Callithrix jacchus: one gene and its partners. The protein of the gene in region 4 interacts with the protein of the main gene of each other region in a pairwise test. Links are inferred from orthologs where the notes say so. Each region holds a gene or a part of one and is shown on either strand. Other genes may lie near its edges. The genes, in order: GOLGA2, TRIM54, MEOX2, TCEA2, TRIM27, GPKOW and KXD1.

Region 1 (3,500 bases), on a different chromosome or scaffold from region 4:
ACTGGTCTCAAACTCCTGACCTCGTGATCTGCCCGCCTTGGCCTCCCAAAGAGTTGGGATTATAGGCGTGAGCCACCACACCCAGCCTAGTCTCATTTGTTTTTAAAAAAAAGAACTTAGTAAGGATGGAAGGGACAGGGAAAGAGAGCATATTTATGTATATATGTATGTAGGTATGTATGTACATGTATTTATTTATTTGAGACAGAGTCATATGTATTTATTTATTTATTTATTTATTTATTTATTTGAGACGGAGTCTCCCTCTGTCATCCAGGCTGGAGTGCAGTGGTGTCAAGTCAGCTCACTAGAACCTCCAGCTCCTGGTACAAGCGATTCTCCTGCTTCAGCCTCATGAGTAGCTGGGATTACAGGCATGCACCACACCTGACTTGTTTTTTATTTTTGTTTTATTTTATCTTATTTTATTTTATTTTTATTTTTATTTTTGAGACAGAGTTTCACTCTTGTTACCCAGGCTGGAGTGCAATGGTGCGATCTCAGCTCACCGCAACCTCCGCCTCCTGGGTTCAGGCAATTCTCCTGCCTCAGCCTCCTGAGTAGCTGGGATTACAGGCACGCACCACCATGCCCAGCTAATTTTTTGTATTTTTAGTAGAGACGGGGTTTGACCATGTTGACCAGGATGGTCTCGATCTCTTGACCTCGTGATCTACCTGCCTCGGCCTCCCAAAGTGCTGGGATTACAGGCATGAGCCACCGCGCCTGGCCGTATTTTTATTTTTATTTATTTATTTATTTTTGAGATGTAGTCTCACTCTGTTGCCCATGCTGGAGGGCAGTGGTACAATGTCTGCTCACTGCAACTTCTGCCCCCTGGGTTCAAGCAATTCTCCTGCCTCAGCCTCCCAAGCAGCTGGGATTATTGGGGCATGCCACCACGCCTGGCTAATTTTTTGTATTTTTAGTAGAGATGGCTAATAAAAAAATTAGCCAGGCGTGGTGGCAGGCATCTGTAATCCCAGCTACTTGAGAAGCTGAGGCAGAAGAATCGCTTGAACCCAGGAGGTGGAGGTTGCAGTGAGCCAAGATCACGCTATTGCACTCCAGCCTGGGCAACAAGATCGAAACTCTGCCTCAAAACAAACAAACATACAAAAACATGTTAGTATTAGAGGTTAAGTGCTTGCCTAAAATCACTTAGACAGAGCTGGGATTTGCTGGGATTTGAACACCCAGGTATATCTGATTCTCTAAGTCCATTTGTTCTCTGGGGGTGGGGCCACAGATAGGAAGGGGGTAATCTTTTGTTCACTTTTTGAAAGGATGATACAGGTTGGGCGTGGTGGCTCATGCCTATAATCTGAGCACTTTGGGAGGCCAAGGCGGGTGAATCACGAGGTCAGGAGACCATCCTGGCTAACAGGGTGAAACCCTGTCTCTATTAAAAATAAAAAAAAAAATATATATATATATATATATATATATAGACACACATGCATATATATACGTATATATACATGAATTCATTTATTTATTTATTTATTTGAGACAGAGTCATATGTATGTATGTATGTATGTATTTATTTATTTATTTATTTGAGACGGAGTCTCCCTCTGTCATCCAGGCTGGAGTGCAGTGGTGCCACGTCGGCTCACTAGAACCTCCAGCTCCTGGTACAAGCGATTCTCCTGCTTCAGCCTCACGAGTAGCTGGGATTACGGGCATGCGCCATACCTGACTTGTTTTATATATATAATTAGCTGGGCATGGTGGCATGTGCTTGTAGTCCCAGCTACTTGGGAGGCTGAAGCCGGAGAATCACTTGAAGCCAGGAGGTGGAGGTTGCAGTGAGCCAAGATTGCACAACTGCACTCCAGTCTGGACAACAGAGCAAGACTCTTGTCTCAAAAGAAAAAAAGGAAAAAGAAAGGATGATACATTTGCATGGTCCAAAACTCGGAAGGTACAGAAAGGAATTATCTCCCAGCCATGCTGTTCCTCTCTCGAGTTTTTAATGAATCCTTGCACGCGCAAGCACGCACACACACAGACACATGTTCCCTCTCTCTACACAAATGGTAACACACTAAAGATACTCTTCTGTATCTTCACAGTACAAGTATCATATCCCCTACCTACGACTTGGCCAAGGCCACAACCAGGAAAGGGAAGGGCAGGCACTTGGCCTCTGAGCTCTGTGTTCAGTGTTTGCTCCCCAGTGCTTCTCAACTCACCCACAGCAGCTGACTCAGCCCCAGGCTGCCTCTAACAACCACCCACAAAAGGAGTGAGAAATGGCCCATACTGCCTTCTAGGCAGGACACTCCACCCTGCAAAAGGGACCTTAAGGCTCACTCCTCCATCTGGGAAGCCAGCCTGCCAGGGAACGGGGCAGGGAGTTGGACTCACCCTGTCTGCCTTCTTTTGCTGCGTGGAGACAGCAGAGAGAGCCCGCTCCAACTCTCCCACACGCCGCCGGGAATATTGCAGGCGGCTGGCCAGATCTTCGGACTCTCCTGGAATGAGAGAGGTTGAGATGGGGCCCAAAGGACTCCCCTCTAAAGGTCTATCAAAGTGCCAGGCTGAAGGATGATGGGGTACCCAGATTCCCACCTTCTTTCTGCCTGGCAGCATGCTGAGTGTGAGCCAGGGCTGTCTGTAACTCAGCTTTCTCTGATACGAGGATTCCTATGGTCTGGATGTGAACCTTTGGGAGAAAAGTCAAGCAAGTGCTGAAAAAGAAGGAAAGAAACATTCTCCAGAGAACAGGAGGGAACTCCGCACCCTCCACTCACCTGTAACTGCTCCCTTAGGGCTCCCTGCTTTTGGTGACATTCTTTCTTTTCCTACAGGATGAGGAAGACAGAGCTCTTACTTGGGGAAGGCAGAGACGGCACAGCAAGGGACATGCCCCCAGAATGCCACCAATGCCCCAGGACAGGCCCACCCATAGGACCAAGTTATCAGGGACCCTGTGGGGATGGGATGGAATCTGGGGGTGGTGGTGACCTTCTTCCCCAGGCTGGGAGTGGGTGAGATGAGACTGAGGCCTCTACATTTGAATGCCCCCCAAACCCAGCAGTCATGTTGTGAGCAAACAAAGAAATCACGTTACTTCTTCCAACTGATCCGTAATTTCTTGGTTCTGTTGTTTCTGTGGGGAGAGTCAAAGGAAGGTGACTGAGGGTGGTCCCCTCAACTCTATTCCCCAGACCAGGAAGGGGTAGGCAGGGGCCAGGAATGGATTTTAAAGGCAAAGTTTTCAGACCCAATGGGAACACAAACTGGTAAACTCTCCTCAGGCTCCCAAGGAAAAGGGATTTGGGTCTTTGTTGGTTTTTGCCCACAGCCACAGAACTGGGTCTGGATCTGATTCTCTTGAAAGGACAGTAACATAAACCTCGAGAGATGAAGTGTGAGAAAAGGCCACCCTTCTGCCAGCTTGTGATTTAGAAAGGTGCATTCATTCAACAAACATTTGCTGAGCATATACGGGCCAGATACAGTTCTTAATAGCAGGGATATAAGACAGAAA
Region 2 (3,934 bases), on a different chromosome or scaffold from region 4:
AAGCCATTCCCAGGTCTCTTTGAGTCCAAATCAGTATTCTAGAGCTTTCTGGAACCAAAACTGTGCTTGGCTAGAGAGGGTTGACTTGAATAAGCAGGTCACTTAAACACATTCTAGACTCAATGTATGGGGCCCTCTGCCAGATGACAGAGGAACCCAGGAGTGCACTTGGACATTCTGACCACTTTTCCACAGGACATGTCACCTTCGCTTTCAAAACTTCTCTTTGCTTTCACACATTTCAAGTTCCAGTGACAGGATGTTTCACTCTAAGTTCATGAGAAAGGATGGCAAAATCTTTCTGCCATTCCCTCCTAGGCATCTCAGCCTGAAGGATATTCAGAGTTACTAAGACCAAGGAAAATCCAAGACGGTGGGCAAGGCATTGCCTCTCATGGAGGACTTCATGCCCAGGATGAGGAGGCACAGCGTTTGGTCTAGGCCCCCTGAGAGGGAAAATCTACTGGCTCTGAGATACTCTGGAGCTGAATAATGGCAGATTTGGACAATAAAGAATAGGAGAGGGAGGCCGAGCGCGGTGCCTCATGCTTGTAATCCCAGCACTTTGGGAGGCTTAGGCGGGCGGATCATGAGATCAGGAGTTCGAGACCAGCCTGGCCAAGATGGTGAAACCCCATCTCTACTAAAAATACAAAAAAAAGAAATTAGCCGGGTGTGGTGGCAGGTGCCTATAGTCCCAGCTACTCAGGAGGCTGAGGCAGAAGAATCGCCAGAACCCAGGAGGCAGCGGCTGCAGTGAGCTGAGATCACGCCACTGCACTCCAGCCTGGATGACAGAGACTCCATCTAAAAAAAAAAAAAAAATAGGCTGAGCACAGTGGCTCACACCTGTAACCCCAGCATTTTGGGAGGCTGAGGTGGTTGGATCACAAGGTCAAGAGATCAAGACCATTCTGGCCAACATGGTGAAACCCCATCTCTACTTTAAAAAACACAAAAAATTAGCTGGGCATAGTGGCACATGCCTGTAGTCCAAGCTACTCGGGAAGCTGAGGCCGGAGAATCGCTTAAGGAAGCAGTGAGCCAGGATTGTGCCACTGTACTCCAGCCTGGCAACAGAGTGAGACTCCATCTCAAAAAAAAATTAAAAAATAAAATAAAATAAAAAATAAAAGAATAGAAGATATAATGGGCCTCAGTGGGAAGATGGCAGGAGGGACCACAGAGTGCTGGTCTTCAGTGAAGATGCCACACAGCAGACACACAAGGGTCGGGTCACAGGGCACAGTGTGGGATGGCCTGACCTAGCCAGCCCATTCCTTCCCCAAACAAGCTGCCCCAAGGAACTTAAAAGGGAAGTATTCCTTGACTAGGCTAAAAATCACTTGTGTTTAACACATTTCCTCATCATTTCTGACACGGATGAAGAATACTTGTTTGGGATGTCCCGTGTCACTAACACACATACTAAGCCAGCCAGCGTGGTCTATTTTGGATTTTTACTCATCAGCTAGGCCGTGTGTGTGTGCGCGTGCCTTTGCCCCGTACTCTCCCTGATCTCTGTTCCATAGCCTACTAGAACCCCCTCAGTGGCACAGGACAAGAAAAAAAAAGCCCACTTAGAATCCATTCTGGTACATGCTTTTACTTCTAAACCAGTGGCTAAAATGGTATCTGTGAATTTGATTAGCTATGCTTGGCCCCATGACCACAAATAATCCAAAACTGGCTAGACTTCTAAGAAGTCAATTTCTTCACTGCCCTCTCTCTGCTTGTTAAGTGATCTCGATAGCTTGTAACCAGAAGGCCTCTTTACTGAATGACCTAGAGGGTGACACGTATGAACTTAAGTTGGGGAGAAGTCCCAGTCTCCTGCCTACCATATCTAACTCTGTCCCCACAATGGATGCACTGAACTTTCCTTAGTTTTATTGCCACTGTGGAGCTTTCTCACAGGGTTAGGTTTTATTTTACTTATTTTTTAACATTTCATTATCTCATTAATCTTTTCTCCAGATTTTCCACAATGCACTCAAAGTCTGAAACTCCAAACTGGACTGCAGAGTCTGGGAGTCCCCTTCCCTCCCAGCTTCCACAGGGTCTCCTTTCCTTGGTAGATCCCAGCACTCCAGCTGCTGGCCACACAGGCTATACATGCCAGCCTGCGGGCAGCTGCTGACTCATGCTCACTCTGGGATTTGCTTGGACCCCAGCACTTCTGCTCTCCAGCCACAACAGCCACCACCCACCTCAAAGAGCACTCTATCCATCACCTTCTGGGGTCTCAGCTCTGATCTGATCGGTCCCCCACAGGTCTGCCTTGTTTTACCTGGCCCTGCCCCATCCCTTATGCCCACCTGGAAGACGTCGTTGGCACACTTGCGGCACAGGTTGTGTTGGCAGGGCAGGATCACCACCGGTTTGGAGAACATCTCCAGGCAGATGGGGCAGATGAGCTGCTTCTCCAGGTTATCCATGCTGTGTGCATCCCCTAGCAGCGGCTTGAAACCCACTGTGAAGTTCATCCCCTCGATGGTCGCACCTGCCCTGGCCTGGGCCCTGTTCCTGGCCTTCACTCACTGTCTGCAGACCCTTCCTCGCTTAGACAGCCTGTGGATTCCCTTCTGTGGCGCACTCTTGAAATAGCACTGCTATCTCTCCTGTCCCTTTCTTTAACAACTTGTCTCGTCCCAGAGAGCAGTCTTTAGACACTTGTCTTTCTCTACTTTCTGCTCTGCACCCTCGCCAGGCTCACGTAGTTTTATCTATCCCTTTCTCTGTAAAATTCTCCTGTTTCCTAAATGACCCTCTCTTGTTCACTCTGTGGGTAGCACTGTTTGTCCCTTACTCCCCAGAGACAAGATTAATTTTACTGTGGGGGTGGGGAGACAAGGGGCATCTGCATGACATTCCAATTCCCAATTTAGCTCATGTAAGGCGAGCCACAGCTGTCACAGAGTGAGTGACCCTGACTCACTCAGGAATGGGTGACTCCCTTGAGCAAGAGCAGGGGCAAGCACCACTGCTTACGGTGAAAGGTGGGTCAGCAAAGGGTCTGCCCTCTCACTCTGAAGGCTCCTCTGAGCCCGGGAACCCTGCTCTGGCTTGGGCCTTTCTTCCAGGACCGGGACACAGAATCTAAATCGGCCTGTGTGAGAGGCACCCATACATAGCTTAGGGTGGGAGGAATGATCCTGCCAGACTTAGAGTCAGTAACAGTTTCCTCCTCCACAGGCTCAGCCAGTGACCCAGGTCCTCCTCCTCAAGACTCTGTGATTCAGAACAGCAGCTCGAGGGATGACATCAAGCCTCTTGTCCAACACCTTGGGCTCATTTTTGTTCTTGCCCAGCCTTTTCTTATATCACCCTAGGAAAAGAAGCTCAAGAGGCTAGAAATGACTGTTGTGCCATAGCCTGGACCTATCTATGAGCATGTCCCTGAGGAAATGTGGGATTCTGGTCCATGAACACATCCCTGGAGCCACTCCAAGGACTTCAAATTTGTTAGGAAATTGGGAGAAGGTGAGCTGGGCAGAGAGGACCTGAATGCCAGGGACCTATTTTGGGCACCCAGGGAAACAATCTCCAGGGAAATTTTAGAGCACTGACAAAGTCATAATCACAAGTCTCTGGGGAGCCTCTGCCCCAGCCCCACAGTTGTTCGGGACTCCTACTTTCCAAGCCAGGCTTGCCCCAGTGTGAGCACTGACTTTTTCTCCTACACGTCTTTTTCTCCACTTGATCTTAGCCAAAGGGCCAAGAAGCAATTTCTTTAGGCCCTTTTTCTTCACCCCAGACACACATAGTTTGTCTTTTTCAGGCCCAACATATGCCTTGGGACTGGACAAAGCTCTTTTATTTACTGACATTCTTTAGCCCTTCTCCCAGTCCAGGGAGAGAAGTTTCAGGAGTTAGTAGGCTGTGACCCTGAGTGGGTGGGAAATACATGGTGTGAAGAGGACACGAAATAGCA
Region 3 (4,300 bases), on a different chromosome or scaffold from region 4:
AAAGAAAAGATAGGCTTAAACAGGGGGACTGGAAGAGGAGAGGAAAGGTTCTGCTTTGGGGACACCTCTCAAAGATTAATCAATACTTTTTCCTAATTCAAACCAGATGTCTAGCCCAGTTTGCTGTACCCATTAATCCCATTAACAACTTCAAAGACCTGGTCACCATCCTCTGGACACCTGAGACAATGAAAATAACAGGGCGACACTGCTGGTGGTGCAGTCGGGGCTCCGGGTGGAATAGGTGACTACAGATATTCTCCTGATCCGACACGTCCCAGATCCGACGTGACTGTTCCTCCTGCTCATTAAAGCCCATTCACTTGTGTATAAACGACTGTGCCCCAGCGGATCTTGTCGCTCACCAAGCAAGTGGCAGTATCAAAGCCCTGCCCTCGCTCTCCCATGCTTACTGGAGGCAAGTTATCGAGTTTATTTTCAGGGATGCAAAGATGTAATCAAGCGCCCAAGCTTAGTGAATTCTTAGAGCTATCGAAATTTAAGATTTCTCAGTAAATGGAGCAGTGGTGTTAAGAGACACGATTAGTGGATTTATTTTTGAGCAGAAGAGTGGATTTCTAGAGGGAACTGAAGAGACCTGGGCTAGCTCCGGAGGGGAGAGGCTAGAAATGTGCATGCAAATCTACACATCTCATGTGACTGGGACAAAATCGCTTGGAAATAATTCTTGACCCAGGAAAATTTCTTCTTGGTGGACGAGTGGCTAGGAAATTGAGCGAGACCAGGAAAGCGGGGGGGAGGGAGACTCCACCGGGCATCGCACGTGAGGATGCCAGAGAGCAGGCATCTGCAATTCGCGCTTACCTCCCACCCACCCCACCAGGTCTTCCTTAGGTCTTCCTCTCAGGTCTTTCCGCACTGTGAACCACACTTTCCAGGCCATGGTGCACGTCCCCGAAACCTCAGACCTGGCGTCCCAGCCTCTTAACCACCACCCACAGAAACTAACTGCGAAAACCTAGGCGCGCGGCGGCGCCCTGGGCACGGGAAGATGCGAAGTTTGAAAAACTTCCAGAGTGCGCCAGGCTAGCTCTGATCTTTTCCTTTAACCCTATCACTTCTTTCGTGTTCCTCAAAGGCTAGGCGTATCCCTAGCTTTTCTGCAGGTGACAGTTCCCAAATGACACTGACAAGTTACGTTTTCCCAAGAGAAAAATTAGTAGGTGGGAAACAGGGTGCTGGGTTGGCGCTGGTGCGCGCCGCGCCCTGGCCTCCAGAGTCTGGAGGGCAGAGCCGCTGCCCTCCCGGGCGGGATTTAGACGCTGGCGCGCCGCTTGTAGTCCTGGTAGCTGGCAGGGCTAGGCGGGCGTGGACGCTCTGCGTCTGTCCAGCCGGCGATAGGAAGTGGAACTGGGAGCGCGTGGCGCAGACTGAGCGGGAGTTTTGGAGGGAGTTTGCATGTGGTCAACTCTGGGCTCCTAAGCCAGCCCCCAGCTCACGTTACAGTCTATTTATAACCTCTCAGAGCCATTTCCCCCTGAAGGCAGTTCACTGGGACCACCTTCTTTTGGCTTCAACCTCTCCCACTCTTGACATCTGAGTAGCTCAGGGAAGCTCTTCCAGGTCCGACTGTTCATATGTAAAGGAGACTGGCCGTTAGGGCTCAGGACCGGGATTATCCGAGCTCTGCAGAAGTGCACGGCTATTGCTTTGAGAGGGGTAAAAAACATCACACGGTTTCCAGTGAAAAGTGACAGAGGGTGGTGGCCTTTAGAACCGCCGTGAAGTCTTCTGCCTGGAACCCGAAACTTGCATGCTATGGAACACCCGCTCTTTGGCTGCCTGCGCAGCCCTCACGCCACGGCACAAGGCTTGCACCCGTTCTCCCAATCCTCTCTAGCCCTGCATGGAAGATCTGACCATATGTCTTACCCCGAGCTCTCTACTTCTTCCTCATCTTGCATAATCGCGGGATACCCCAACGAAGAGGGCATGTTTGCCAGCCAGCATCACAGGGGGCACCACCACCACCATCATCACCACCATCACCACCATCAGCAGCAGCAGCACCAGGCTCTGCAAACCAATTGGCACCTCCCGCAGATGTCCTCCCCACCGACTGCGGCTCGGCACAGCCTCTGCCTCCAGCCCGACTCCGGAGGACCCCCAGAGTTGGGGAGCAGCCCGCCTGTCCTGTGTTCCAACTCTTCCAGCTTGGGCTCCAGCACCCCGACCGGGGCCTCGTGCGCGCCAGGGGACTACGGTCGCCAGGCACTGTCACCTGCGGAGGCGGAGAAACGAAGCGGTGGCAAGAGGAAAAGCGACAGCTCAGGTAAGAGAGCGCCAGGCACCCTCGAGAGTGCGCGCCGGCCTGGAAAGGGGGCGGGGAGATGCCAGGGAAGAGTCTGGCCCTGGAGGGTGGCGGCGGGGAAGAGGGGAATGTGTTAAATTCGGCGGTGAAGCTTTGGTCCTGTTATTTGGGGGCACGTGTTTATCCGAGAGCAACACAGCTAGCAGCTCTAAGCTCTCCAAGGTCCTAAACTAGTTTACCAGAAGGTTGATAAAAAAGGACAAGTGGCTGTGAAATCGATTGCGAAGCGTGACCTTCCATCCCAGCGCGGGGGAGGGAGGGGCGTGTGCCCAGGGATGCCGCGTCCGTTGGGCAGGCGTGCGTGCGTGCGGGTGCTGCTTCTTGACTTTTCTCTTGCAAGTTCCCGACTCTGAGTGGCTTGACTTTTCCCATCGTAAACTGGATTTCCAAATTATTGCACAATATTTGGAACTTGCAATGGAACTTGGCAGAGCACATGAGAAAAAAAAAAAAGTTTTAGTTTTTTTTTTTTAAACATTCTTGTTTGAGAGTTCTTTAAATAGCACCCTATTTCAAATGGTAAAAATTTCCCCTTCTTAGGGAAGAAGATATTATCTAGGAATTCAGATTTTAAGGAATGTGTCAGAGAATTGTAAATAAATACATGCTCACGCTGGAAGAAAGACGAACCTTAATATAGTACATGTTCATGTTGTGTAAGTTAATTACAGAATCTAAATTTCAAGAGTGGAAAATAAATCCCTCTACCAAGTTGGTTTTAGCTGCGGCAAATACTGGGTAGCGAACAGCAACTTGGGTAGTGTCAGTTAGCTACGTGCCTGAAGGTCGTATGCAAGGGTGCGCAGGAAGCGCTGATTTCAGTGAGGATAATTTGAGCAGCCACGCAAAAGGGGAATCTTCCTGACCTCTGGTGCTTGAAGGCACAACTTGCAGAGTAAATTGTAGCAATCCAGAGAAACTCAAAGTTTTCCAGACAACTTTTCAAAGCTCTGACCTACTTCTATTATCATAAAATTGTTAAAAGATACTTTAAAATTGAGAGACTTGTGAGTTTTCTTTCGTGGCTATGGTGCACCCTGGCTTCCATCTTTTTGGAAGGTATTATTTGTTTAATATAATATTTGTATATTTTTCTTCCTCTGCGGAACTGGGTTAATAATAGTCCTAGAAGGTAATCCCATATATTGGTTTGAAGGATTGGAATGTTTATGCTTTTTAAAGCTTTAGGTGAGATGTCACATAAATGAAAATGATTGACCGCATGTTTAATATTCCTCTCCCCTTCGCAGCAATATCAATCGTTCTTCAGCGTTAGTATGGGATAGATTCTTCTGTCAGAAGAATAAAATAACTTTTATTTTCCAAGGATAGGGGATGAACTTTTAATGTTCAATCACAAATTAGTTTTTATAAGAAAGTTAGCAGTGGTGTCACTGATATTTACTGTATTTTCCTAACTATAAGTGAAACTCCCTTTAGATAGTGGAAGGTTAATCGTTGTAAGAAGGTTTCAATTTTTATTAGAAAAACCGTCGATTTTAGAATGCAGTGACAATTTTATAAACTGAACATTCGATATCAGTGTAACTTTTGAAAGAGATCCCAGTTCAGGCTGATGAGAGTACTCTTGCAATTCCCATAAGCCCTTACTGTTCATTTTATTTTTCTGCAATGAGAAACCTACATGATAGCCTTATGCTTCCGGAACTGAGCCACTGCCCTTAAGTTTCTTAGGGCAAACAATTTTCATGCAAGCACATGTTATTTTGTTTGGGGGAAACCAAGAAAATGGAATTCAATAACTGATTTCCTTAATTTATTTTAATAAAACTTTTTTTTTTAAAAAGGAATAATTTAATAACATTTGTCTCTTCCCCCAACTGTGTGGGAAATAGCCATTTAACAAAATTAAGTTCATTTCTACATGTTGAAGCTGATAATGAGGGTAATGGAAAAACAAACAAATATAAGTGTTTGTGTCAGCTGAATAAATTATGAATAAATTAA
Region 4 (4,250 bases):
TTCCAGGTTGTGACCTACATCTGAGGCAACGACCACACCCACTTCATTGTAGCCACCTCAGGTCACTGGCCCAAACCAGAACAGAAATGCCAGCGCCCCCCCGGCAAACTGGGAGGCTTCAGGGCCATGGCCCCTCCCCAGCAGCCAGGGCCGCACCCAGGTGAAAGGGCAGCCCTAGGTTCATTCACTCCCCTGTGCATTCATGCCCTGATGCAGGACAGCCTCCCCCAAAGCACCCATCCCCCCACCGGCTGTGAGGCCAACCCAGGAACATAAGTGTCCCCAGCTGAGGCCAAATTCTCGGGGTGCCTCCACTTCAGGCACAGCCACAGCCAACACCTCCAAGGCCCACAGCCCCCCTCCTCATCTATCCTCCAGGCTTCTGAGTTGCCCCCAAGCTGGCCAGCACTCCTTGCCTGGACAGCTGCAATGCACCGTTCTCTCTGCCTGTCTCCCTACCCAAGATCTGCGTTTCCTCCGGGTCCTCACACATAGATGAGGCAGGCGTAAAACTGGTCAAATTTCCACACCAGGCACAGCTCCTCCGTGCTCCCCAAGGGTACCGAGCCACCACCAAGGCCTCTGCACCTGCAGCTGCACTGCCTGGGGTGGCTTCCCAGGACAGCACCCTCCCTGTCTCCCGCCCAGGCTTTATTTAAACAACACTTTCTCATCAAGGCCTCTCCTATTTAAAACTGCAACTGCGCCCTGCAATACTCCCATCTTCTCTAAAGCACATGCCTGTGTTTCCACATGTGTATCATTCTCTCTGCCCTAAGATGATCTATCAGATGTCCCACAACCCAGAGGCCATGGGAGGGGCTTGTCCCCCCCCCCACAGCCCCAGCAATCTGGGAGGCATCTCTCCTCATGCTGTAGCCCCTCATCAACCCTCCCAGGCAGGCCCTGCCCCTTGGGCTATAGAGTCCAAGCTTGAGGTGATCGCCAGAGCCAAGGGCACTGTTTGCTGAAAGCTCTGCACCAGCTTATGTGACTCTCAGTGGGCTCAGGATAAGGGACATAAAAACCACCAAGCCTGGCCCTCAAGTCCCCCAGGCGACCTCAGGCACTGGGACCCCCCAGGAGGCTCTGCTGGCCCTCTTCCCCCTCCTCATTCTCTCCTGGGGCTTCTACTCAAGCTGTTCTTCCATCAGAACCCCCAATGTCAGTTCTTCGAGCCCCACCCAGCCCTCCCCTGGCTCTGTGACCCATCCCTGCTTCTCCCACCTACAGTTTTTCTCTTTTGTGTTTTGTCTCCTTTAAGAGGGGAAATAACTCCATTCTCAGGTCATCTCTGGAAACAGCTATAGAAGGTTCACAGACCCCTACTTTGTGCTGAGCAGTTTCCCGGGGTGCATGTGAATGCAGTGATGGCAGTGCTGCACCCAGCAGAAATGAGTGGGAGCCCACCCCTTCCCAGTGCAGATCCCAGCCCAAAACCCTGGTCAACAGGAACCCACACTCAACCCTGCTCAGCCCAAAAAGCTCCCCCCAAAGACCACTACTGCAGTCACACAGCCCTGGTGTAGCTGCACAAATCACCCAAAGCCCATGACTCAGCCACCTTCACCGCCCTGGGCTGGCCCTGCTCTAGGAGCTCACAGTCTGGGTGGGAAAGCACAGGCCACATTTATTGAACCGGCCAGGAGCTCCACCTGACCTGTGACCAGACCCCTCCCCACCCCCAGGAGACAGGCACCATCCTCTAAAGATGCTTTTGTGCAAAGGTGCACAGGGCGCCAAGGTCATGACAGTGGAACTGGACCCCCACGGGCCTGGCCCCTTCAAAGGCCTCACACACAGCCTCCTCCAAAGTCCTGCCGTGGCAGCAAGACGACAGAGGCCCAGGCCGCAGTGAGCAGAGCTGGTCAGACACTCCCGGGGGAGGCTTGCCCGACCTTCTGGGTCTTATATAAGCACACCGGCTCTTTTCCGGGGGTATCCACATAACAACCCACAACCCAAGTTGCTGCGGGCTAAATCCTGGCTAAAGAAGGGAGAGAATTTATTAGAGAAACCTGGTTCTTGCGGGGTGGGGACAGACAGGGCCTGTGAAGGATGACGACCAGGGCCGGGAAGAGGTAGGGGAGGCACAAAAGCTCCAGAGGAAAAGGGGACCTCAGACTCCAGACTCTTGCCGGTGACAAACGCTACGGGAGAGGGCTGAGCTGGGGGCGGGGCTCGGCCCGTGAGGATGCCCAGGCCCGGACGGAGGAAGGCAAGGGGGCCCGGGAGGCCAGAACACCCCGGGGGCTCCGAGAGGCGGGGAGGGGCCGGGCTCGGGTCTGCAGTTAAGGGACAGGGAAGGGTGCAAGCCTGTCACTGCGGGCGGGGAGGTGGGGCTGAGTCCAGAGCAGGTGGCTCCCGGGACAAGGTCCAGGCCCAGGTGCGGCCTCTCCCGGGGATGCGGGAGTGAGGGAGTGAACGGCAGGGCGGGCCCGGGGCAGGGGTCTCGGCCACGGGTGGGGGTCTTCCCTGCGTCCCGGGAGTCTCTGCCGGGGAGGGGTCTTGTCCTGCCCCTCAGGTCGTCTTCCGGCCCTAACGGGGGTCGGCAGGCTCGACGGGGTCTCGGCGGGGCGGGGGTCCCGGGGTCCTGGCGGCCCGCGCCCCTCACCGCGCTCTTCTTGGTCACCATCTTGTCCAGCCTCCGGGCGATCCGCGCAATCTCCTCCTCCTTGCCCATCATCACCTCAGGAGCAGCGCCCCCCGCGGCCGCCGCGCCCACCTCCGCCGCCTGGCTGGGACCCCAGCCCCGGCCGTCGCCACCTCCCGCACCCGCCGCAGCCGACGCAGGCCCGCCGCGGGCGGCAGACCCCGGTTCAAACCCTCGCCCCGCGGCCGCGCGCGGCATCCTGGGACGCGTAGTCCACGCGCCCGCCCGCCCCGCTCCCCGCACCCGTGCTCGCCGCGTTCTGAACCACAACCCCCAGGCGCCATGCGGCGCGCACAGTCTCCTGGGAAGTGTAGTCCTGACGCGCTGCCGCCAGAGACTCGTGATCCCACAATGCCCCGCGAGGAAAGCGCCCTCAGCAAGTCCCTCCCGGAGCTCAGGCAGCCCCGAGCGGCTGGGGCCCAGTAGGTCCGGAGTCCGCCCCCTTCTCTCCTCCTGTCTCGGGTCTTGCTCTCCCCCGGCGTCCTTCGGTGGGTGGCTCAGGACCTACCGCCCTCAGACCTGCTCTTGGGCCCCGCTGAGCCCCGCGCACACCGGCCTTGACCTGGAAGGCCATCCCCAGCGTTCCAGGGCCGAGTGTGGGTCACTGGGCCTCTGCGGGGATGTCACCTCTCCAGGAGGTTTGGGGGGCCTGCAGGTATGAGTGCGCAGTAGCTGGACGTGGCGTCTGGAAGGGGCCAGTGCTGGGGTTCGCGAGGTGCCGGGGGCCCCTGCAGAGGGTGCGTGGGCAAGGCTCCTGCCTCCACAGTCAGCTACCCGGGAGCAGATGCTGGGCTCTGCACGTTGACTGCTCTGTGCCTCAGTCTCCCCACCTGTGAAACTGGAATGACGAGATTGTCAGCCTCACAGGGCTCTTGTCAAGGTGATGTAAGCTGCTTCTCATCACATGCCTGAGAACCGAGCGGGGGATGGAGCGTGACAATTAGTGTTCACTGCCATTGCTGTTGGAGGTCCCCACTTAGGACCACACTGCAGGCAGCCAGAGAGATGGGCCAGGCCTGGGGAGGGTTAGGACAAGGAGAAGGCAGGGCCAGCATGCCCACCAATGCCTGCCAGCTCCTCAGTAACACAGATGCCAGGTGATTTGCTGATATCAAGACCATCTTGGCCATGGTGAAAACTCGTCTCTACTAAAATACAAAATATTAGGCCGGGCGCGGTGGCTCACGCCTGTAATCACAGCACTTTGGGAGGCCGAGGCGGGTGAATCACGAGGTCAAGAGATCGAGACCCCGTCTCTACTAAAAATACAAAAAATTAGCTGGGCACTATGGCGCGTGCCTGTAATCCCAGCTACTCAGGAGGCTGAGGCAGGAGAATTGCCTGAACCCAGGAGGCGGAAGTTGCCATGAGCCGAGATCGCGCCATTGCACTAGAGCCTGGGTAACAAGAGCGAAACTCCGTCTCAAAAAAAAAAAAAATTAGCCGGGCGTGGTGGCGAACCTGTAGTCCCAGCCACTTAGGAGGCTGAGGCAGGGGAATCGCTTGAATCCGGGAGACAGAGGTTGCAGTGAGCTGAGATCGTGCCACTGCACTCCAGTCTGGCGAAAGAGCAAGACTCTGTCTCAAAAAAAAAAAA
Region 5 (3,500 bases), on a different chromosome or scaffold from region 4:
GAAGAAAAAAACCCTCAAATCCATCTTGCAAAACCCAATCCTGGATGAGACTATCCACTTTCTCACTGCCTGTGCCACAGCCGTCAAGATTTAAGAAAGCAAAGCTGCTAAGAAAGTTACACAACAGGGCAGAATGGTTACACTATAAATAGATGTTCACTGACCAAACACTCCTCCTGGTTCTCGCAGGCCAAGTGACTTTCCCATACTCTGAAACAATAACTTGTTTCCATGGAACAGAAGACCCTTGAAACTAATTCCTGGCACACAGACTTTAGTTCTCATTTCCACCTGCCTTCTCAGGAACCACGCACTGTTCATCAGTGTATCGTTTCTGGCGACGTCAGTGTTCCCTCTCTCTCACCTGGAAACCTTACAACATAGACTCCTTTCCTGCTCCAGATAAAACTCCATCATCCTGCCTCATCTCTAGGTATTTTATTACACCCTCTCCTCAGTCATCTACTTGTGCAGTCTCCTCCAGTCCCTGCTCACTCAGCTCCCTCTAATATGGCTCCCGCCCCAGTTATTCCATTGTGACAGTTCTACAGAAGGTCTACATAATAACGGTCATGCTATTAAATCAAATTTGCACCAGCTTTGCAATTCACAGTAATGTAATTTCACCTCAATTGCATTAGTATGGTGTCCACTCCCTCCTTCCTCAAACAGGCCTGGTCACATTTTACCTCCCTGGCCAACTGTCCTCTTTGCAAATTCTTCCGTTTCTCCCTGTCACATACTGATGTTCATTACAGTTCCGGCGGTCTTTTATTATTCTAAACCAAGGGTTGGCAATCTTTCTTTCTTTTTTTTTTTTTTGAGACGGAGTTTCGCTCTTGTTACCCAGGCTGGAGTGCAATGGCACAATCTCGGCTCACCACAGCCTCCACCTCCTGGGTTCAGGCAATTCTCCTGCCTCAGCCTCCTGAGTAGCTGGGATTACAGGCACGCGCCACCATGCCCAGCTAATTTTTGTATTTTTAGTAGAGATGGGGTTTTACCATGTTGACCAGGATGGTCTCGATCTCTTGACCTCGTGATCCACCTGCCTCGGCCTCCCAAAGTGCTGGGATTATAGGCGTGAGCCACTGCGCCCGGCTGGCAATCTTTTTTAAAGGCCAAGCAGTAAATATTTTAGACTTTGTGGGCCATATAATCTCTGCTACAACTCAACGCTGCTGGTGTAGCAGAAAAGCAATGACAGATAATATGTAACAAAACAAATGAGCACGGCTGAGTTCCAATAAAAATTTATGAGTACTAAATTTAAATTGAATATAATTTCACATATAATAAAATACATTTGGCTGGGCTCACGCCTGTAATCCCAGCACATTGGGAGGCCGAGGCAGGTGGATCACCTGAGGTCAAGAGTTCAAGACCAGCCTGGGTAACATGGTAAAACCCCGTCTATAATAAAAATATAAAAATTAGCCGGGTGTGGTGAATGGCACCTGTAATCCCAGCTACCCGGAGGCTGAGGCAGGAGAATTGCTTGAGCCTGGGAGGTGGAGGTTGCAGTGAGCTGAGATCGTGTCACTGTGCTCCCTCCTCCTGGGAGACAGAGTGAGACTTCATCTCAAAAAAAGGGGAAGGAAAAGAAAAGAAAAACAATAAAAAAAAAAATACATTTCTCTGATTTTTCCCATGTAAAGATGTAAAAACCACACTTGTCGCCCAGGACATACAAACACAGGTGACAGACCATAATCTGCTGGCTCCTGCCTTATGCCATCATCAATTTTTATTTTATTTATTTATTTATTTTTTGAGACGGAGTTTCACTCTTGTTACCCAGGCTGGAGTGCAATGGCGCGATCTCGGCTCACCGCAACCTCCGCCTCCTGGGTTCAGGCAATTCTCCTGCCTCAGCCTCCTGAGTAGCTGGGACTACAGGCGCCCACCACCGTGGCCAGCTAATTTTTTGTATTTTTAGTAGAGGTGGGGTTTCACCATGTTGACCAGGATGGTCTCGATCTCTTGACCTCATGATCCACTCGCCTCGGCCTGACAAAGTGCTGGGATTATAGACATGAGCCGCCGCGCCTGGCCTAATTTTTTTTTTTTTTAATATTTTTCACATGTAGAGCATTTGTTTTTAGGGAGGCCACAAGCTTCATGCCTCTCATCACAATGACTCCAGATTCCTGTTGGGTGTGTTATAAACGGAAGAGCCATTCTTCAGGCCCCCTGCTCTGAGCACACCTTGCCATCATAAATTTTTAATAGCTTTTATCAATATTTATAAAAACTGTCTGATCGCCACACTAAAATATAATTCAGGAAAGTTTATTCAGCTCTTAATCCCAGGGCCTAGAATGGTGCCTGATACAGAGCAAATAATATGCACAGAATGAGCAAACGACAGACAAGCCTTAGCTTGTTCCCTGTGGCTTTGCTGGGGTAGGTCTGTGCAGCTTCATCACCAGCTCTCCAGGGTTAGACCACAAGACCCCTCAGCGAACCTAACCACTCCTGCTCAGGTGCTCACTCCTGCTCAGGTGGCCACAGTCATATGTTAAAACTACAAGATACTGGAGTGAAGAGAGTGTTTGAATGACATGTGATCTAAGCCCCTCATTGTTAACACATGAGGTCACTGAGGCCCAAGTGGAGAGCCTTGCCTGTGATCAGACCACTTGTCAGTGCTAAGCAGGCCCAAGCACCAGGTCTTTTTGCCATTCTCAGGAGACAACGCAATTGACTAATCCACGTTGTGCCAACCAGAACTTCTAGTTTACATAGTTTCCTTCCGGGGTGCACAATGCAGAGTGTGGCAAACTCTTGCTATTCCCGAGAGCTAATAGGAAGACAGGGGATCCTGGATACTACTTGGCAAAGGAAGAAGGGAGGCTACTTTCAGTGGATGCTGCTCTGGCAGAGCTCCGTAAGCCTTACCTGCAGGAGCTCCCTGGTGGGCTGCTGCTGCTTCTCTTCCAGCTGAGCGATCAGGCCACTGAGGTGGGAGATGTTGCAGGAGAACTGGGTGATGGCACCATTAATGCTATTGTAGATGGCCAAGTCCAGCTCCTCAAGGCGGGCCAGGAGGCGATACTCGTGCTCCTTTAAGGAGTGATACAGTTGCTCAAACTCCCAAACAATCTTCTCCCTTTCCATCTGGGTTAGGCTCTGTGCAGACCACAGGAAAAGGCAGTAAAGAGAAACATGGCTCATTTCTGGGGCCTTCACATTTCTCCCCTGGTCGCCCACCCCAAGACCTCATCATGGATGAAACAAGCACAGTGTACCTGAATTGAACCTTAGAAAGACTGAAACAAACAAACAAACAAACAAAAGAAACAAGCACAGTGCTAACTCATTCTTGCCACTCTTTACTGACTGGATGTGTAATGGCCAGGAACTGAGTTACCCCAGTGACTATTAAGACAAAATCTGCCGGGCGCGGTGGCTCAAGCCTGTAGTCCCAGCACTTTGGGAGGCTGAGGCGGGTGGATCACGAGGTCAAGAGATCGAGACCATCCTGGTCAACATGGTGA
Region 6 (3,084 bases), on a different chromosome or scaffold from region 4:
GAGCTCATAATCAAATGAGTCCTTTAACTTGTCCTGTACCCTGGGCAGGAAAGCAAGGCTGAAAAATGAAATGGTTCCCACCTCAGTCAACTCAGTTCCCACCTTAACTCGCAGCTCATGATACCACTTATGATTACATCTTTCTTTTTTTTCTGAGATGGAGTTTCGCTCTTGTTACCCAGGCTGGAGTGCAATGGCGCGATCTCGGCTCACCACAACCTCCACCTCCTGGGTTCAGGCAATTCTTGTGCCTCAGCCTGATGAGTAGCTGGGATTACAGGCAAGTGCCACCATGCCCGGCTAATTTTTGTATTTTGAGGAGAGACGGGGTTTCACCACGTTGACCAGGATGGTCTTGATCTGTCCACCTCGTGATCCACCCGTCTCGGCCTCCCAAAGTGCTGGGATTACAGGCTTGAGCCACCGCACCCGGCCTATGATTACATCTTTTTTTTTTGTTTTGTTTTTTAAACTCTCATGTAATGTTTATTTCACAAACATGAACTTGGAAGATTTTATAAGACAGCATCCCAGTCATTTACATGAAAATAGAAAAACCAGCTTGAGTTTAAGATAACAAATCTTTCTGTAAAACTAGCAAATCTTTCACCCAGACTTTAGTTTTAAAATTTGCCCTCTGAGCAGTGCTAGAGACATCTTTTTTTCTTTTTGAGACGGAGTTTCACTCTTGTTACCCAGGCTGGAGGGCAATGGCGCGATCTCAGCTCACCGCAACCTCCGCCTCCTGGGTTCAGGCAATTCTCCTGCCTTAGCCTCCTGAGTAGCTGGCATTACAGGCACGCGCCACCGTGCCCAGCTAATTTTTTGTATTTTTAGTAGAGATGGGGTTTCATCATGTTGACCGGGATGGTCTCGATTTCTTGACCTCGTGATCCACCCGCCTCGGCCTCCCAAAGTGCTGGGATTACAGGCGTGAGCCACCGTGCCTAGCCTGCTACATCTTTCTATTAAGTGTCCGAAATGGTTTTTATTATACCCTAAATTCTGGTAAATATTGGGTTTGTTTCTAGCTTCCCTACTGGTTCATCCATCCATGTCCCTTGTCCTTGTCCCAGAACTGCACTAGAAGTAGAGGATGGAACAATGATCTTCCCACCTTCTTGAAGGCAACTTCCTCATACTGTACAGAACTGGTAACAGCCTAGGGGATGGGAGGAGTCCCATGGGTCAGTCTTCATCTGTGTCACTAGGGCCCGTGTACTGGCAGACAGCATCGTAGTGAAGCTCCACCACCTGATTCTCTCTTGGCAGTTGCACCAAAGCCCGGCTCCGTGCTCTGTCCCGGCTCAGCAAATGTCCCACCTGGAACAGAGGTGAAGTGAAATCAGCAAGGCCAGCCTAGACCCTGCTACAGGCTGTGAATGACCCACAAACCTCCACTGCCAGGTTTGAGACTCACCCTTCCAGCCTGTGGGCCCAGCACCACCATCACACGGTCGCCCTCTGCCTTGGGAACCAGTGTCTCCAGCATGTCTTCCCTCAGGCCTACAGGTAAGGGAGAGGGGAGTGAGGCCCACAGCAAGGACCAGCCCAACCGGGGTCCTGTCAGAAGGGCCCTTCCTGGCCAGGTGTGGTGGCTCACACCTCTAGACCCAGCACTTTGGGAGGCTGAGGTGGGAGGATCTCTTGAGCCCAGGAGCTTGAGACCAATCTGGGCAAGATGGTCAGACCTTGTCTCTACAAAAAAAAAAAAAAAAAAAAATTTTTTTTTTGAGTCGGAGTTTTACTCTTGTTGCCCAGGCTAGAATGCAATGGCGCAATCTAGGCTCACTGCAACCTCCGCCTCCTGGGTTCAAATGATTCTCCTGCCTCAGCCTCCCAAGTACCTGGGATTACAGGTGCCTACTACCACACCCAGCTAATTTTGTATTTTTAGTAGAGACAGGGTTTTGAGCTGTTGGTCAGGCTGGTCTCAAATCCATGACCTCAGGTGATCCACCCACTTTGGCCTCCCAGCATGCTGGGATTACAGGCATGAGCCACTTCACCCAGCCTACAAAAAATTTTAAAATTAGCCAGGCATGGTAGTATATGCCTGAGTCCTAGCTACTCAGGAGGCTGAGGTGGGAGGATGGTTTGAAACCAGGAATTCGAGGTGGCAGTATCCATGATCGTGCCACTGCACTCCAGCCTAGGTGATAAAGCAAGACCCCATTTCAAAAAAAAAAAAAAGAAGGGCCTTTCCTGTATTCTCTGGAGCCACTCTATGCCCTGTTGACAGATAGAGTCCCACCACATCCATTTCACAGATGAGGAAGCCTAAGGAGTAGTTTATAAAAATCACTATAATAAAGGGAGGATGTCCATGTGGTGGTAGTGATAAGAACAGCCATCGTTTATTGCTGGCATGTTCTAAGCCCTGCCCTGCACTGAGAGCTCAATACACATCCCTTCACCAAGGTACCAATCACAAGAGGAAGAAAGTAATTTCCATGCTAATTTGATAGATGGAGGCCAGGCGCAGTGGCTTGTAATCCCAGCACTTTGGAGGCCAAGGCGGGAGGATCACTTGAGGTCAGGAATTCAAGACCAGCATGGTCAACATGGTGAAACCCCATCTCTACTAAAAATACAAACATTAGCCAGGTGTGGTGGCGCTTGCCTGTAGTCCCAGCTACTCAGGAGGCTGAGGCAGGATTATCGCTTGAAACCAGGAGGCAGAGGTTGCAGTGAGTCAAGATCATGCCACTGCACTCCAGCCTGGGCAACAGAGCAAGACTGTGCCTCAAAAAAAAAAAAAAAGAAAGAAAGAAAGAAAAAGAAAACTTGGCAGACCGGGAGTGTGGGGCTCAAGATAACTACCATAATGGAAGTGTCCAATGTTCTGTAAGAGGATGCTAGGCCTTGCAAAATACCTGAACTCTGCCCAACCTCCCAGCTTTGCCTGGGCCAGGCTCTGGGCCTAAGACACTCTTCTTGATCAACCTCCAGGATGATCATGCTCCAGCTGCAATCACTCAAACTCACCTTCCAGGACTCGGCCTTCATCTGTCTGACATACACAGGTATCTGGGCTTAGGACATCTTCAATTATCATCTGGGGATACAGGTCAGGGGGATGTG
Region 7 (4,190 bases), on a different chromosome or scaffold from region 4:
CTCTACTAAAAATACAAAAATTAGCTGGGTGTGCTGGCAGGCGCCTGTAATCCCAGCTGCTCAGGAGGCTGAGGCAGGAAAATCACCTGAACCCAGGAGGTGGAGGTTGCAGTGAGCCGAGACCACACCATTGCACTCCAGCTGGGGCAACAGAGATTCCATTCCCCCCAAAAATAAAGGGTTTCAGAGCTCACTTAACCTACTCTCCTATTTATTCAAGCTCATACATACTAACTGCTATCCTTATTTATAGATGAGAAAATGGAGGATCAGGGACACTAAAGAACTGGGACACTGTCACAATCCCAGCAGTGAACCTAAGTCACAACAAATGTCCACAGCCCAGAGGTCTCACAAATGTGTGGATCTTAACAGATGCACAATATCTAGCAGTGACAGGACAGTGGCTTCTTACAGCAGCTGATTTCTGTATGACCTCTGAAGGATTTTTTTTTTCTAGGAAATTGACTCATTGACAAATGTTAGCAATGAATACTTTTTCCCAAAATATCATGGAGGCCAAGGGTATCTCTTTGTGATCTGAATCTGGCTGGCCAGTGGTTTGCAGCACCTTCTAGAAATACAATGCCACACCCAGTGAAACCCCCCTCCAATAATTACTATGGTTATTGAACTCCTGTGACATGCCAGGCAGAGACACCCACAGTCCCCACATTCCCAAAGAAGCATGCTCTTGTATAAAGAGGATACCTGGACTGGGTGCTCACGCCTGTAATCCCAGCACTTTGGGAGGCTGAAGCTGGCAGAGCACCTGAGGTCAGGAGTTTAAGACCAGCCTGGCCAACATGGTAAAACTCCCGTCTCTACTAAAAATACAAAAATTAGCCAGGTATGATGGCAGGCACCTATAGTCCCAGCAACTCAGGAGGCTGAGGCAGGAGAATTGCTTGAACTCTGGAAACAGAGATTGTAGTGAGCTGAGATCAAGTCACTGCATTCCAGCCTGGGCAACAAAGGGAGACTCCATCTCAATTAAAAAAAAAAAAAAGCTGGGTGCGGTGGCTCACGCCTGTAATCCCAGCACTTTGGGAGGCCGAGGCGGGTGGATCACAAGGTCAAGAGATCGAGACCATCCTGGTTAACATGGTGAAACCCCATCTCTACTAAAAAGTACAAAAAATTAGCTGCGCATGGTGGCGCGTGCCTGTACTCCCAGTTACTCAGGAGGCTGAGGCAGAAGAATTGCCTGAACCCAGGAGGCAGAGGTTGTGGTGAGCCAAGATCACGCCATTGCACTCCAGCCTGGGTAACAAGAGCGAAATTCCGTCTCAAAAAAAAAAAAAAGGTGGGGCGCAGTAGCTCACGCCTGTAATCCCAGCACTTTGGGAGGCCGGATCATGAGGTCAAGAGATTGACTTCAGATCACGGATTGATCCAAGGTCAAGAGATTGATCACGGATCACTTTGGGAGGCGGGTGGATCACAAGGTCAAGAGATTGAGACCATCCTGGCCAACATGGTGAAACCCAGTCTCTACTAAAAATATAAAAATTAGCTAGGCATGGTGGCGTGTACCTGTAGTCCCAGCTACTCGGGAGGCTGAGGCAGGAGAATTGCTTGAACCTGAGAGGCGGAGGTTGCAGTGAGCCAAGATCATGCCACTGCACTCCAGCCTGACACCTGGCGACAGGGCAAAACTCTGTCTCAAAAAAAAAAAAAAAAAAAAAAGACACCTGGAAAGGAAGGAAGCCCGTAGCTAGTGGCAGTGGGACACAGTTACTGGGACCTTCTGGGATACACCCCTACTTCAAAACAGAAATCTTTCCTGTCTCTGACTCCCAGATGTGAGGGCTGATTTATGGCACCTCCCTCTTGTTCCCCCTGCAGTTTCCTCTCCCAAGAAGCCTTCCCTGATTACTGCTAGTCTGGCCCACCTAGTGAAATTGACCAAGCAAGGGCTCTGATCCCAACTCCAAATGTGGATTTATTGAAGAAACGTAGGCTGTTTAACCTTAGGAGAGCCACTTCACCCTTCTGAATCAGTTTTTTCAACCATAAAATGGGAAAAGGGTGGAATGAAGATCTCACAGTGCTGTCTGTGAGAATTGAAACCAACGGTGATAACGAGTGGAGCTCAGAACGGGCTGTTTTTCCAAGAGGAGTGTGAAGGAGTACCGGGACAGGGCCCAGGAGTCAACATTTAGAGAGCATCCCAAGGGCTTCTAAGAATATATTATGGACAGACACTTGTAGAGCACTTCATTTAATCCTCAATCACCGTTATGAGGCAGACGCAATCACCTACGAGGGAAACTGAGGCTCACAAGAGTGGGCGCAGTTGCCAAAACTCACACGGAGAGGCAGAGCAGGACAACGGTTCTATCCAGATTATTTAACATAATTTAACTCCGCCATCCAAGCTCTGAAAAACCCCAAGTGGGGAGGAGCTCAGATATCCCCTCACGCCCCGTCACCTACAATGCGGGGAAACTGAGGCACAAGCCGGGCAACGCCCAGCTCCAGGTTACACGGCACACCCAGAACACAGGCGGCCCCACTTCCTATTTCTATACACCTGATCCGGATCCAGATCCAGCCCGCGGCGCCGCAGGTGTATCCATTGCGCAGACGGGGAAACTGAGGCCTGTGCGCAGCAGGAGTGACCAGATGTGGCCAGCGGCGCACCCCACCCCACCGCAGCCCGGGGGCCGCGCCCGACCCGGCCCGGTTCCCCGCGGCCCTGAAGTCCCCAGCCCCACCCCAAACTCGGCCCCGGCGTCGGTAGCGGCGGCACCTGCACATCTGGCGGCCTCGCTCGCGCTTCCGGGATGGCGCCCGCGCCGGCGCAACGTCACCACGCACCGATCGTGCGAGCGCGCGTGGCGGCGACGTATCCTGGAACCCCTTGCGTGCTTGGAGTCACGACAGGAAAGGGCGGAGCTTAGACGCAGCTTCAGCTCGCGGGTGGTCACAATGAATAGCCAATCAAGCAGTTCGGCTTGCGCCTGCGTATTTTCCGAAACCCCGGGTTCAGAGCAGCCTGGCAGAGGGAACGCTCAAAGAAGAGTTCCATCTTATAGATGGTGTGACTGAGGGCCCAGAGCGGCAACAGTCCCCAAGATCGTAAATGCTCCAGTGGTCTGTGGCCAAACCAGACCCGCGTGTCCTGCTTTCCAGGCAGGGAATCAGCAGAGCTGAGGTGGTGCCGGTGCTACGGCACCTCAGCCTAAGAGACAAGAGCGAAACTCCATAAGAAAAAGGATTTCCGGCCGGGCGCGGTGGCTCGCGCTTGTAATCCCAGCACTTTGGGAGGCCGAGGCGGTCAGATCACCTGAGGTTGGGAGTTCAAGACCAGCCTGACTGACATGGAGAAACCCCGCCTCTAAAAAACTAAAAGAAAAAAAGGAAAAGGATTTCCATTTGCATTTAGTCATGTCTCCTTAGTCTCTTACCCAATCCACCATTTGTGTCAGGTTCTCCACGTCTTTCATGATCTTAATGATTTTTGTTTGTTCGTTTGGTTTGTTTGTTTTTAAGATGAAGTTTCAGCCGGGCGCGGTGGCTCACGCCTATAATCCCAGCACTTTGGGAGGCCGAGGCGGGTGGATCATGAGGTCAAGAGATCGAGACCATCCTGGTCAACATGGTGAAACCCCGTCTCTACTAAAAATACAAAAATTAGCTGGGCATGGTGGCGTGTGCCTGTAATCCCAGCTACTCGGGAGGCTGAGGCAGGAAAACTGCCTGAACCCAGGAGGCGGAGGTTGCGGTGAGCCGAGATCGCGCCATTGCACTCCAGTCTGGGTAACAACAGCGAAACTCCGTCTCAAAATAAATAAATAAATAATTTTAAAAATAACAATAAAAAATAGGATCTCGCCGGTGCCATGGCTCACGCCTCTAATGCCAGCATTTTGGTAGGCCCAGTCTGGCGGATCACGAGGTCAGGAGTTCAAGACCAGTCTGACCAACATAATGAAACCCTGTCTCTACTAAAAATACAAAAATTATTTGTATTTTTTGTATTTTTAGTAAAGACAGGGTTTCATTATGATGTGGTGGTGTGCGCCTGTAATCCCAGGTACTTGGGAGGCTGAGGCAGGAGAATCTCGTGAACCTGTGAGGTTCACGAGAACCTCACAAGAGCGAAACTCCGTCTCAAAACAAAAAAGAAAAAAATAAAATGGGCCCGTGGCCCCATCTATGGTCCCAGCTGCTCAGGAGGCTGA

The links.
Region 1: the proteins of TCEA2 (region 4) and GOLGA2 interact in binary tests that used the Homo sapiens proteins (3 or more experiments, as listed by UniProt). The two-hybrid records come from large-scale screens. The link is inferred for Callithrix jacchus from reciprocal best matches to the Homo sapiens genes TCEA2 and GOLGA2.
Region 2: the proteins of TCEA2 (region 4) and TRIM54 interact in binary tests that used the Homo sapiens proteins (3 or more experiments, as listed by UniProt). The two-hybrid records come from large-scale screens. The link is inferred for Callithrix jacchus from reciprocal best matches to the Homo sapiens genes TCEA2 and TRIM54.
Region 3: the proteins of TCEA2 (region 4) and MEOX2 interact in binary tests that used the Homo sapiens proteins (3 or more experiments, as listed by UniProt). The two-hybrid records come from large-scale screens. The link is inferred for Callithrix jacchus from reciprocal best matches to the Homo sapiens genes TCEA2 and MEOX2.
Region 5: the proteins of TCEA2 (region 4) and TRIM27 interact in binary tests that used the Homo sapiens proteins (3 or more experiments, as listed by UniProt). The two-hybrid records come from large-scale screens. The link is inferred for Callithrix jacchus from reciprocal best matches to the Homo sapiens genes TCEA2 and TRIM27.
Region 6: the proteins of TCEA2 (region 4) and GPKOW interact in binary tests that used the Homo sapiens proteins (3 or more experiments, as listed by UniProt). The two-hybrid records come from large-scale screens. The link is inferred for Callithrix jacchus from reciprocal best matches to the Homo sapiens genes TCEA2 and GPKOW.
Region 7: the proteins of TCEA2 (region 4) and KXD1 interact in binary tests that used the Homo sapiens proteins (3 or more experiments, as listed by UniProt). The two-hybrid records come from large-scale screens. The link is inferred for Callithrix jacchus from reciprocal best matches to the Homo sapiens genes TCEA2 and KXD1.

What each region holds. Positions count from the first base shown.
Region 1 is NC_133502.1:176,872,008-176,875,507, forward strand, and holds part of GOLGA2 (golgin subfamily A member 2), read right to left. Parts: intron 3,120-3,500; coding exon 3,081-3,119; intron 2,812-3,080; coding exon 2,761-2,811; intron 2,673-2,760; coding exon 2,579-2,672; intron 2,482-2,578; coding exon 2,375-2,481; intron 1-2,374. UniProt on the Homo sapiens protein: Peripheral membrane component of the cis-Golgi stack that acts as a membrane skeleton that maintains the structure of the Golgi apparatus, and as a vesicle thether that facilitates vesicle fusion to the Golgi membrane.
Region 2 is NC_133515.1:87,734,329-87,738,262, forward strand, and holds the start of TRIM54 (tripartite motif-containing protein 54), read right to left. Parts: upstream 2,801-3,934; 5' UTR 2,487-2,800; coding exon 2,319-2,486; intron 1-2,318. UniProt on the Homo sapiens protein: May bind and stabilize microtubules during myotubes formation.
Region 3 is NC_133512.1:42,792,488-42,796,787, forward strand, and holds the start of MEOX2 (homeobox protein MOX-2), read left to right. Parts: upstream 1-1,500; 5' UTR 1,501-1,779; coding exon 1,780-2,293; exon of another isoform or gene 2,294-2,334; intron 2,335-4,300. UniProt on the Homo sapiens protein: Mesodermal transcription factor that plays a key role in somitogenesis and somitogenesis and limb muscle differentiation. Required during limb development for normal appendicular muscle formation and for the normal regulation of myogenic genes.
Region 4 is NC_133506.1:59,536,019-59,540,268, reverse strand, and holds the start of TCEA2 (transcription elongation factor A protein 2), read right to left. Parts: upstream 2,801-4,250; 5' UTR 2,687-2,800; coding exon 2,615-2,686; intron 21-2,614; exon of another isoform or gene 1-20. UniProt on the Homo sapiens protein: Necessary for efficient RNA polymerase II transcription elongation past template-encoded arresting sites.
Region 5 is NC_133505.1:2,077,837-2,081,336, reverse strand, and holds part of TRIM27 (zinc finger protein RFP), read right to left. Parts: exon of another isoform or gene 3,133-3,500; coding exon 2,902-3,132; intron 2,212-2,901; exon of another isoform or gene 2,083-2,211; intron 1-2,082. UniProt on the Homo sapiens protein: E3 ubiquitin-protein ligase that mediates ubiquitination of various substrates and thereby plays a role in diffent processes including proliferation, innate immunity, apoptosis, immune response or autophagy.
Region 6 is NC_133524.1:49,662,874-49,665,957, forward strand, and holds the end of GPKOW (G-patch domain and KOW motifs-containing protein), read right to left. Parts: intron 3,059-3,084; coding exon 2,989-3,058; intron 1,507-2,988; coding exon 1,421-1,506; intron 1,324-1,420; coding exon 1,189-1,323; 3' UTR 501-1,188; downstream 1-500. UniProt on the Homo sapiens protein: RNA-binding protein involved in pre-mRNA splicing. As a component of the minor spliceosome, involved in the splicing of U12-type introns in pre-mRNAs.
Region 7 is NC_133523.1:17,269,791-17,273,980, reverse strand, and holds the start of KXD1 (kxDL motif-containing protein 1), read right to left. Parts: upstream 2,801-4,190; 5' UTR 2,537-2,800; intron 1-2,536.